Tribolium castaneum: one gene and its partners. The protein of the gene in region 3 purifies or fractionates together with the protein of the main gene of each other region. This does not show direct contact. Links are inferred from orthologs where the notes say so. Each region holds a gene or a part of one and is shown on either strand. Other genes may lie near its edges. The genes, in order: Pp4-19C, PPP4R2r and protein phosphatase methylesterase 1.

Region 1 (3,753 bases), on a different chromosome or scaffold from region 3:
ATTTTGAAACATAAAACTTAAGAAACCTTCAATTCAAAGCTTAATTATACGTTTTAAGGCTTTTTTGCTTAGCTATCACACACGCGATGGGTACGGTTTTGAATTAGCCGTCCCAAAATGGCTGCCAGTGCCGCCATTATTTTTTTAATTTGCAATATCTTTGAAATAAAACTCAAATTTTACAAAAAAATGTATTTTGGCAGTCTGCAAATGGTACAATACATGGTTTTAAATAAATAAATTCACTATAAGTACAGTTTTAGAATTTCGAAGTCAATAGAGGGATAAATCGACAACTGGAACAAAAACTGTCTTAAACATAATTGAAGACCATGAAAAAATACGTAACTACAACTGATGAATTAATTATGAATTAACAGATGACCAAGAGTATAATATGTATATTACAATTATAAAAGAACAACTAAACTATTACAGAAAATAATCAGCTTGTGGTTTTTTCGATGGCACGCCTCGAGTTTCCTGAGGCGCCGCTTCAAAAATCGTAAAATCACGTTGCAGATGCTCGTTCAGTTCCAAAATTGCGGCAACGTTGCCACACCTGCAAACACAAAAAATAACCGAAATTTACCAAATGCCCAGTTTGGAAAAAAAAACTAGACGCCCTTTGTTGACGACATTTCGTCGAAAACAGTAACGAATTTAATGTATCGTTTAGTAAGTTTGTTTATCATGTGGTTTAATTTTTAAATAAGTAGGCTTGGTGGTGATGTGAAGCTTCTAGATCCAAATTCAAATAAACCTCCAAAATCTAGTAGGTTTAAAAACAAAATTGTTGGCGTTTTTTCCAAAGCATCCTTCGCAAAAATATTTTTTCTCCATTTTAACCAGCATTCGATCATATCATGTGATACATCGTTGCAATCAGAAATAAAAACACTTTTCGAAAATACAGACATAAGAAAAACGAAAGCCTCCAAATTCGTACAATCATAATAAACATTTCCCGACATTTGAAGTTACTGTTTTCAACCTAGCTCAGTGGCGCTCCCAGTGGTAATTTTACCTGTAGCAATAATTTGGAGCTGACCACACTGTCAGCACAGTCTCGTTAAAGTGCCACTTGTAGCCCTCCATGACCAGCTGATGCGCTCGACAGATCATGTCAATGTCGTTGGCGGCGTTAAACTGGGCCACGACGTCGGAACCGAACAGATAGCCCGCCCCTCGGGGCGACACGCCCCAACCTTGGGTATCTACAACATTGATTTTTCATGACTAACTCTGGACACAAATATAATTTTTCGGGGCCAACTTGGCCACCAATTTTTTTTTTCAATTTGGGAGCGACTCAAGGGGGCTATTAATTACCTTCAGGGTCGCTCCATAACAGGTCGCACATTGGTCCGTCGTGTGGTACTTCCTGTTTCCGGTCGATGACTCTGATTTGATCTAGGGTTTGGATGGAGGGCGACAGCCCCCCGTGAACACAGAAAATTTTGCCATCAATGATAGCCGAAAGTGAGAGGTAATCGAAAATTTCGGTGCAATACCGCCATACGGTTATGGAGCCGTATTTGCGTAAACACTCGTCGTAAAATCCGTAAACTTGGGTTATTTGACGCGACTCGTGATTGCCTCGTATTAAGGTGATGCGGTCGGGGTACCTAACCTAAAAAAATGATCGTAAATTTTTACTTGTTGCGTCACGTTTTCGGTACTACTTTTAAGGCTAGTAGCAGGAGGAACGTCTCAACACTGTAAAACCCACGATCGACAAAGTCCCCCATGAACAGGTAGTTCGTTTCGGGGACGTCGCCCCCCACTTTGAAGAGCTCCTTCAGGTCGTAAAACTGGCCGTGTATGTCGCCACAAACCTGAAGCAAGTCACAATGAACCAAACCGTGACCCCTTCCGGGGGCTGCGCTTACCGTAACCGGGGAATCAACCCTCTGAACATTGCTCTCTTCAACAAGAATTTCCCTAGCTTTCGCACACAGCGCCTTAACCTCGCATTCCTTGATCGTTTCGCACCTTTTCAACTGTTCGATTTGCCGGTCTAAATCGCTGGTATCGCCCATTGTGCCTGAAACACGGGCCCCCAAGCTCAAACGTCAAACGAAAACAAAAAGTAACAAGTTGAGGTTAGGTCACCCAAACTTAACCAAAAACCCCCAAAACTGAACCCAAACGATTGCGAAACGCTAATTACCCACAATTCTGGCGAAATTCCGTACCTTTTTCCAATAAAAGTTCGAAAAAGCCCCCACCAAAGCCACTAATCACAGCACCCCGATGCCCTAATCTCAGACATACGTCCGATTGGCTGACTCACAAATGTCAATTGAGCGGCGGCGTCGTGTCGCCACCGACGCTACTCTGCGCACGTTCTCAACCCTTATTTCGGCAGGAAAGCGACGGTGGACGGTTAAATTGGGGAGAAATTGCGTTTAGGGTTGTTTAAATAAAGTTGGTGCGCCTGCGTTAGGCAGTAGGTCGTAGTATGATTACGGCTTAAAAAATTAAAGCGGAGTTTTTTCATGTTTAACCTGAAATTTTAAGGGGGTTTTGTGGAGGGTTTGTGACTGTGTGTGTGGTGCCGAGGTGTTGGGAGACATGGGAAATATCCATACGGTGGGACCGAATGAAGCCCTCATTGTTTCAGGTAATTTTATTGGGGTAGCTTGGACAAGGGTGGCTGGGGCTGTACTACAGCGTTTGCGGGGTTTGGGGTACCTGCATGCAAAATCTGGGGTCTTTTGGGGTATTTTCAAGGTGAATCGTTAGTTGTTGATAAGAATAAATAGAATTCCCGACCATAAAAATAACTTTTTAATTGTAGTATTATTGATAGTGAGATACAAAAACTACGTTTCAATAATTAACGTCTCATCTTTACCGGTTTAGAGATTTATTAATAACTTGTTTTTTTAATATGACAAAAATGTGTTATTTTATTAATTAAGTATTATCAAAAGAAGATTTTTTCTTAGTCATAAATTGTTTTCAACAATTCCCGCTAATCATGTGTTTCATTTATTGCCTAACTGCAATAAAATTTAAGTGCTCTACTATTTGACCTTTGACATTTGTATTGTGTTTGGTTGGTGTGCCTGTTTGTTGTTGTTTTACAATGGGCGTACCTATCTGGAACAACCTTGCATATGTTTATTTACTGTTTACTGCAGTGGTATAACATGATCGTGATTGTAACTACTAGAATTAAAAAATAAAAGACAGTCTTCTGGTTACAATTTTTTTGAAAATTAATGGCCAAAAAGTCAGTCATTCCAGTCTTTTTTCCGTGGTGTAAGTCGGACATAATCGGCTAGTGTAAATCGCTCTTTAAGCAGTGGTGCTTACAGTATTACCAACTCAAAAAATAAAAATCACCAGATCCGCGCGGAATTTTATCAAATTTTCAATAAACTGGAGCCTCTAATGGCTTGAAAAATGTTAAAATAATGTAATATTCAATCTGTTTTAGCGAAATTTTACAAAAAAACTGAAAATTTAACTTTTGAAATCTCAAAATCACGTAACAATATCAATTCCATTTTTTGGCGTCTGTGATACTGCAAAATAAATGAGTTTTTAGTTAAGAAACTAAGTGAAAACTAGCTGAATTTAGCCGGTTTTCGAAAAAGTTCTTAATTTTTATCTCAAAAAAACACCATTTTTCGTCTTATTTGGTGAATTTTTGGTTTGTAGCGAAATTTTGCAGAATAATTATACCTCAGTACAGATTACCTCCGGCTGATGTAATTACACCTCTGGCTGTAAAACGAGCTA
Region 2 (3,753 bases), on a different chromosome or scaffold from region 3:
TGCTTGTTGAAAGGAGTAAAAGTTTTTGTCGGACCGACAATAATTTCTGTTTTGTGCTGTGTGCTGGTAAACAATTTTGTTGTTGCTAGTTTCTTTTTAGTTCCACATAGAAAATATTTATCTATTTTCTTTACTGTAACTATTATATAATTAAATAAACACATACAAGCAGAGTAAAATGAAACAATACGTTGATTCGTTTTTATATCTGGGCCAGTGTGTTACTTTTTGCAAAAGTCGCCCGCTTGCATCTGTAAGAGTTCTAAATTCTAATTAACACAAATCTTTTAAAGCGATTACGCTCGGGTATAGGGCTGCCTTACAAAAGAAAATAATCCTCATACGTGCGCAAAATGATACAAATACATAACAAATAATATATTTACAAACAATTCGGTATTATAAAAGATAAACAGAGTATATCATATTCATAAGCCACGTTAAAGCTATGTACAAAATAAAACTTACAAGGTATTTTTCTCTTACAATTATGAATTTTAAGCGTTTATTTTAAGTTCGTTTCTCAGGATTTTGCCGCTGGGGTTCCTTGGGATCGACTCGACGAATTTAACACCGCCGGCGATTTTTTTGTAATGGGCCACTTTGGGGTTTATGTAAAGTAGGATGTCGTCTTCACTCAGGCTGCTCCCGGGTTGGCGCACGACGAAAGCTCGGGGCACTTCACCGGCCAAAGCGTCCGGAATACCCACAACAGCACAATCGGCCACTCCGGGCATCTCCAGGAGCAGATTTTCAAGCTCGGTGGGCGACACCTGTTTACAAAAAAATAACGATTATTTCTTACGTAAATATTTAACAACGCGTAATAAAAAGAGTATAAAGTATGACTTCGTAACGTTAAATTCCAGGTGCCACGTAATAAAATAATTAAGGTGTGTTTTAAATTCAAATTAAAAAAAATTTTTGAATTAAAAACCACAGGGTATGCAACCAGTTATACAAAAAATCCGAGTGTTCGCAGAGAAAATATTTTTAGCGAAATCTCGGTGTCGCTCACCCGGTTTTTGCACACGTGTTAGACTTTGCGCTGTTGCTGATTATAATTTTTAATGACTGTACTTTAAAATCAAATAAAATTGTCTCGCGTTTAAATTGATAAATGACCACGTCCTTAAAATAGGCGCGCGGTTGCGCAGTTCGTCGATCACGTCCTACTTTGAGTGGAATGATATTGAACCGGCGCTAACTTCGTTATTGTCATTGGTGCGCTTGTTGACGCAAGTAGATGGTGATCGGTGGTGCTAAAATTTCGCGAAAAAAACAATAACAATAATGGAAAATCCCGAAGAAATACTCCACAGTTTAGAGGAATTCTCGAAAACCAAGCCCAAGGACATACCGCGCGAACTGGAGGAGTACCTTTGTTTTGTGGCGAAAACAGGGGACCCTGTGTACCAGTGGTCGGCAATAAAGAGCCTCTTTCGCGAGAAGATGATTAACGTTATAACGGAGTTCTACGAGACGTGCCCTTCGGTCGAGATACCCCCTTGTCCCAACGTGGACATTTTCAATTACGACCTTATGAAGAATTTTATTTTAGAGAAGTTGGACACGTTTGCGGCGGCCCCCTTCACGTTACAGAGGATTTGCGAGCTGTTGACGACTCCGAGGAAGGAGTACAATCGGATAGACAAGTACATGAGGGCCCTGGAGAAGAATATCCTAGTTGTGAGCACCACTGAACCTGGGGGCAGGAGGAACACGGAGAACGGGGAGGGCATTATGAACGGGTTGGAGTCGGAACATTTGCCGGAAACTAGCAATAGCAGCAATGACATCAACGTGGAAGAAATGGACGATGCGCCAGCTTGGCCTAGATTGCTACAGAACGAAAATGTTCCATATCAAAATGAGAATAGCAACAGTAATGACATTCAAACCCAGCCAATTGTACAAGAAACGGTGGTCACCGCGTCTAAGCTACCAGATGTGGCCTGCAGCTCGTCTCAAGACACTGTCATAACGTGTCGAAGCTCAGAGGAGCCCTACGTTTCGATTGAACCTGTGCCATCAAATACTTGCACCAGATCAGACCCAGATGAGACGGATGTCTCGGTTACCATCACTGCCATACCTGCAGGGGTCCAAAAGAGACGAAACAGTGTCGAACCGGTCGTTTCGTCAGAAACCGAAGAAATCACCGAGTCTTGTGTAAGTACCAAGTTTTGATCAAAGTGTCCATGTGTTTGAAGTTGGCAACATTAATTGCTAAATGGTCACGTCACACTCAGGACAGTGTTGCCAGGCCTCGCAAAATTTCACCAAGTTTTGTGATTTCGTAATTTCAAAATTTCTTCGAAAATTACTAAATTAAAAAACTGTTATCAAACCATTAAAATCACAAAATCCCTCGATGTAGTTAGTTTAGGAGCGAAATTTCGTAAAAAAAGTCAAAAAACCGTAAATAGATTTTAAAATTGTTATTTTTAGCTTTTCAAGCACGTTTTTGAATAAAATGCAATGTGTTTTTCAAGATTTTACAAAATTTTGTTCGTTCTATTCGCCTCTTTTATTTTGAAAAATCTTGTTAAAACGCGCCAAAAAAATACAAAAATAAATGAAAATTGATGGTTTCACTTAATTTGCTCATTTTTGAACAAAATTTCGTAGTAAAATACCCTAAAAGACGCAAAATTTGTGTGGAAATGGTGTTATTTTTTTTAATTTTTTAAGTATTAACTAAGCTATATTAACAAAATTTTCTTGAGAAGACCGAAAGTTAAGAAATAAGAAAAAGAAAGTCGGAAATATCATTATTTCTTCCTTTTTTGTGCGTGTGGACATATTTTACAGTCCGAAATGTAAATATTTCGTAAAATTTTGTTGTAAAGAAGCTTAAAATTTGCCAGCTTTTTTTAAAAATGGTGATTCTATGCATTTTCTATGCATTTAAACGTATTTTTAACGCGAAATATTTTTTCCCTTTTGAAAGAATATCTAAAAAATACGCAGCTTAGATTGTCTCGCTTGGTTTAGTTTTATTTATTTTGCAAAATCTTGCTAAAACGCCTCAAGAAGAAACCGAAATTTCTTAGGAAAAAACATGTAAAAGCGCATTTTTGGAGTTATTTTTCACCATTTTCAAGTTTTTTTTTCTTGTGAGAATGAGCATGTTTTAGAGCCTGAAATGCAAATTTAATAAAATTCTGGTCAAAACAAGTCCAAAATCCACCAAATTACGCTAAAAATTGTGCTGTTTTACATTTTTTGAGGATTTAGACGTATTTTAAAAACGAAAATAATTTTGCAAAAATTATATTAAAATTAGTATCAATTGGCAAATTATGTTGTAGTGTAGTAGTAGATTAGTAGATGTTTTTTAGCTTATTTGATTAGATTTTATTCGTCTTTAAACCTGTCTCCTTTATTTTGCAACATCTAAAACGCTTCAAAGAAACTGATGGTATTTAACTGTTGCACTTGAAAAAACTCAAAATGTGTTAGAAAGTGTTGTTATTTTTTTATTCCCTTTCGAGATTACAGCAAAATTACAAAATTAGATTGAAAATAACATTATTAGTTTTTGTGCAAAATTTCTTAGAAAAAAATCTGAAAAGGTACATTTTTTTGGAAATGGTGTTATTTTTTAACTTTTTCATGTATTTTTTTTCTTTAGACAAGACCAAAAAATTAAGCTGGAAATATTCTTTCTGTATTTTTTGTGTGTATGAGCATGTTTTAGAGTCAGAAATGCAAATATTTTATAAAATTTTGTTCAGAACAAACCCAGGA
Region 3 (3,747 bases):
TCAAAATGGAGCAAAAGGCATCTTTGCGAACAACACCTTTGTTTCTAAACAAACTAGATTTTGGAGGTTTAATTGAATTTGGATCTGGAAGTTTTACTTTTCCACCAAGCTTGCTTATTTATACTAAATGATATGAAAAGCTAAAAGTTTATTCTTCGCAAACAAAACAAGACAAAGTTATAAAAATTCTGGTCGCATATTCAATAAACCTGTCAAAATCTCGTTTGTTAAACGAAATTTTTAATGTTTTTTCCAAAGCACTCTTTGCAAAAGCGCTTTTTTCTTAATTTTAATCAGTATGTAAGTTTTGCTCATATCATGTAATCACTGTAATCTACAAAGACTTTTCAAAAATACAAGAGTCAATAAGATCAGTGTTATAACTCTGACATCAACAACGCCTTGAAAAAGATGATGACAGATTTAGATTTTATATAAAAATGTGCCTGAAGAACGTCCTACTTAAAAACGTCTAGTTCTTTTGGTTTTTGCTTAAAAAAATAAAAACAAAAATTACGACTTTTTGATTTTTCTTAATAATTCAAAAACTAAAAGTGACACATCAAATATTTTCCAGATAATAGTTTAGCAGAAAAATGCGCAACTTTGCTCTAATTTAACCGACCTCGTATTTCATATACGGACGGCCTGTATAAATTGTTTCATTAAAAAAACATAAAATTGTATTGTTTATTGTATCTAATTTCGAAAACACCTTGTATATTTGAAAATAAATTTAGGAGTGACAGGCGTTTAGCGTCTACGGCTTTGGAAAAAAAATATTTCTTTCTTTAACATCTACCTCCTTGCTGGAACACTCTGTATAATTGTCAATATTTGAATAGCGCGCCGTGTTACGTAACAGGAATTTTTTGTCCGTGACGTTGGTAGTGTTTTATGTTTACGATCGGTGGACGAACTTCTCATAAAATTTGCTCTTCCGTCCCAGATTTAAATTAAACAATTTGGAAAAGTAAAAGTGGCACGTTTAGAAAAAGCTATTCGATCAAATTGTTACAATGAGTAATTTACGAAAAGCAGTTTTAGGACGTAATGCGAAACGCATTGGGTATGTAGTTATTTGTGCAAATTTGTGTGTATTGTGGTTATTTCCGTACAGTTTAGCCCCCAACCAACAAGACTTCGCCCCCCTTAAGTGGGATCAGTATTTTGACAGTGAAGATGATGTTACGACTGATAGTGGAACTTTCCATGTTTATAAAAAGGGTGACTCGGGCCCGGCGGTGGTCTGCCTCCATGGGGGCGGCTACTCGGGGCTCACATGGGCGCTATTTGCTGTAACTGGCCTCAAAGTTGTGGGCAAACATTAATAATGATTTTCAGGTTGAAATTACCACGAATATTGAGTGCCAGGTCATAGCGATTGATCTAAGGGGGCACGGGAACACCCGGTCCGGCGACGATAGTGACTTATCGTTAGAAACCCTGTCTCAGTAGGTTTTTCTTATTTAAAACGACAAAATTAGAAAAAATTTTTTAGAGATGTTGTTATGGTACTTAGCACAATATTTTCGGAGGAGGAACCTCCTGTGGTATTTGTTGGTCATAGCATGGGGGGCGCTGTTGCTGTTCAGTGCGCACACATGGTTAAAACGTTGGGGCTTTGTGTAATTGACGTGGTTGAGGGGACCGCCCTTGATGCCCTATCCTCCATGCAAAGCATCCTAAGGGGGCGCCCCACAACCTTCAAAAGTGTTCAGCACGCAATCCAGTGGTGGTAATCAAATTAACACAAAAAATTCCACAAAGTTTAGCCTAATTTTCAGCTACAAAGGGGGCCAAACTCACAACATTGAGGCAGCCAAGGTCTCAATGCCGGGCCAAATAATTAGGTAAGTAATTGCAATTCTCCCATCATGAGCGGTCGAGCCGGAGTCGAGTGTCGTAATTTTCGACACTATATATTTGATTTACATCCACAGTGGTAATTTAGCATCATAGGAATGCAACATGATCACATTGCCACGAGCCGACAATTTGGAATTGAATTGCAATTTTTTTTGTCGGGTCGTAGAAAAAACGGGGTATGCAGCTCGCATTTTGGGCTTTCCTAAAGATAATGAGACATTCCAAACTCGTGTATGAAAGAATTATTAACGTGTTAGAAAAATAAAATGGTATAGCAGCTTAAAAATGATTGACAAGGCCATAAAATTACCATTCTGATCATAATGCTTTGTCTGGGATGTGAAATACAAGATTTACAGAAATTGAGTTCTGAAAACAGTACAGTGAAAACAGTAACGTCATCGCTTATAAACGACGGATCGTTTATAACGACCAATCGTCATATTTATATATTCTTTGTTATTTCACGTTGCAACTTATTGAATGTCTTCTTAGTGCATAGCAATAGTTATCTGGTTATATGTATCGTTCTTTCAGTTATTTGATATGGTTTAGATTTGACGTCCAAAAAAACCTAGTAGGTTGCTATTTATATTATATCTATTATATCTCTGTTGATAAGTGCCGGTATCAAAAGTTCATAATAAATTAATAAAAATTAGAGTTTAGGTAACATATTTCTCTCCCAAAATTCTAAATTTTTGTAATTTTTTTTTTGGTATATCATATCTTTTGAAGTCCACACCACACAAACGAACGATTATTTTGGGCCGCTAAATAGTCATCTTCTTTTTCATCAACTAATTTTGCAAATTTTATATTTGTTCGGATAGCTTTTTGAGGAGATAAGTTTCTAGCATTAAAAGGACATTTGATTTCTATAATTCCATCACATCCCAAAAGGCCATCCGGACTTGCCGCTAAAAATGGGTATTTCTCAGAGACGGATAGGTCGACCAGAAGACTTTGTTTATTAAATTTGATTTGGAAAGATTTTAGTGCATTCTCTTCATTCTGGCTAGGCCCAGGTTTGTTTAAGTTGTGTATACTATGAGTATAGTGTAGAGGAGTCACTATACTACGTTACAAAACCACTATAAAATCACACCCGAGAAGTTGAAATAACTTGCCTTCGGCATTTGGTAGTTGATAAATTGGGAATATATGATTCATTTTGCTCTTTCCTGTTCTAACAATGCAAAATCACTGTGTTGGTCAGTGTCTGTAATCCACTAAGTAGATACACAGCGGTATTATCACAATTTTTTCAGTATGAAATTTCCGGCGAATTGTTTCGTTGTTATCTACGTTAATATTTTAGTTTATACTTGTGAATGATAACCTTACGCCCAGCGTTCCACAATTTCGAAAAGTTCCTTACCGTTTATTTATTAATTATATTTTTTACATATTCAAATCCAAAAGTGGAATAAAAAATTAATTTATAATTCTTTTCAACATCTTGTCAACACGAGATAATGCTTTATCGTGTGGTGAAAACCGCATTGAGTTACATTGTATGAGTCGGAAACTTTAACATTGTTTTTTTCCCTATATCCGAAAACGGCATCGACACCCTTAATGGCTAAGGCACTCGCACTCGTTACGACACGAGCCGTAAGCGAGTGTCGCAGTTTTTCGCAGTATACTAACACGTGCATTTAATTTGATGTTTTCAGTATTCAAAGTGGTAATTTAGCAGCTAACGAATGTGATACAATTGAGTTGAAGCCGGCGGAGGAGTTGTCGGCGCCTGTGAGAAAGCAGACGCCGGCGACTCCCACGATTGAGGAGGATGACGAGAGCAATTGTTCCGATTGCGGGAAGCCGCCGCTGCCTAAATCGGCAAAGACCGAGCCTGGGAGCGGCGAGGACGGC

Evidence for each region.
Region 1: the proteins of protein phosphatase methylesterase 1 (region 3) and Pp4-19C purify together in Homo sapiens (affinity purification with mass spectrometry; 3 studies listed by BioGRID and IntAct, with this or other methods). This does not show direct contact. The link is inferred for Tribolium castaneum from reciprocal best matches to the Homo sapiens genes PPME1 and PPP4C.
Region 2: the proteins of protein phosphatase methylesterase 1 (region 3) and PPP4R2r purify together in Homo sapiens (affinity purification with mass spectrometry; 3 studies listed by BioGRID and IntAct, counting the BioPlex papers as one, with this or other methods). This does not show direct contact. The link is inferred for Tribolium castaneum from reciprocal best matches to the Homo sapiens genes PPME1 and PPP4R2.

Annotation. Positions count from the first base shown.
Region 1 is NC_087401.1:11,679,576-11,683,328, forward strand, and holds Pp4-19C (serine/threonine-protein phosphatase 4 catalytic subunit), read right to left. Parts: upstream 2,353-3,753; 5' UTR 2,199-2,352; exon of another isoform or gene 2,174-2,198; intron 2,048-2,173; 5' UTR 2,043-2,047; coding exon 1,893-2,042; intron 1,839-1,892; coding exon 1,686-1,838; intron 1,634-1,685; coding exon 1,333-1,633; intron 1,218-1,332; coding exon 1,028-1,217; intron 563-1,027; coding exon 433-562; 3' UTR 178-432; downstream 1-177. Other genes in the region: Flo2 (flotillin-2), read left to right, coding at 2,578-2,626. UniProt on the Homo sapiens protein: Protein phosphatase that is involved in many processes such as microtubule organization at centrosomes, maturation of spliceosomal snRNPs, apoptosis, DNA repair, tumor necrosis factor (TNF)-alpha signaling, activation of c-Jun N-terminal kinase MAPK8, regulation of histone acetylation, DNA damage checkpoint signaling, NF-kappa-B activation and cell migration.
Region 2 is NC_087402.1:9,726,812-9,730,564, forward strand, and holds the start of PPP4R2r (serine/threonine-protein phosphatase 4 regulatory subunit 2), read left to right. Parts: upstream 1-1,150; 5' UTR 1,151-1,293; coding exon 1,294-2,172; intron 2,173-3,753. Other genes in the region: uncharacterized protein LOC107397720, read right to left, coding at 498-773. UniProt on the Homo sapiens protein: Regulatory subunit of serine/threonine-protein phosphatase 4 (PP4). May regulate the activity of PPP4C at centrosomal microtubule organizing centers.
Region 3 is NC_087403.1:7,977,472-7,981,218, reverse strand, and holds the start of protein phosphatase methylesterase 1, read left to right. Parts: upstream 1-848; 5' UTR 849-1,019; coding exon 1,020-1,069; intron 1,070-1,120; coding exon 1,121-1,298; intron 1,299-1,344; coding exon 1,345-1,454; intron 1,455-1,501; coding exon 1,502-1,738; intron 1,739-1,787; coding exon 1,788-1,853; intron 1,854-3,548; coding exon 3,549-3,747. UniProt on the Homo sapiens protein: Demethylates proteins that have been reversibly carboxymethylated. Demethylates PPP2CB (in vitro) and PPP2CA. Binding to PPP2CA displaces the manganese ion and inactivates the enzyme.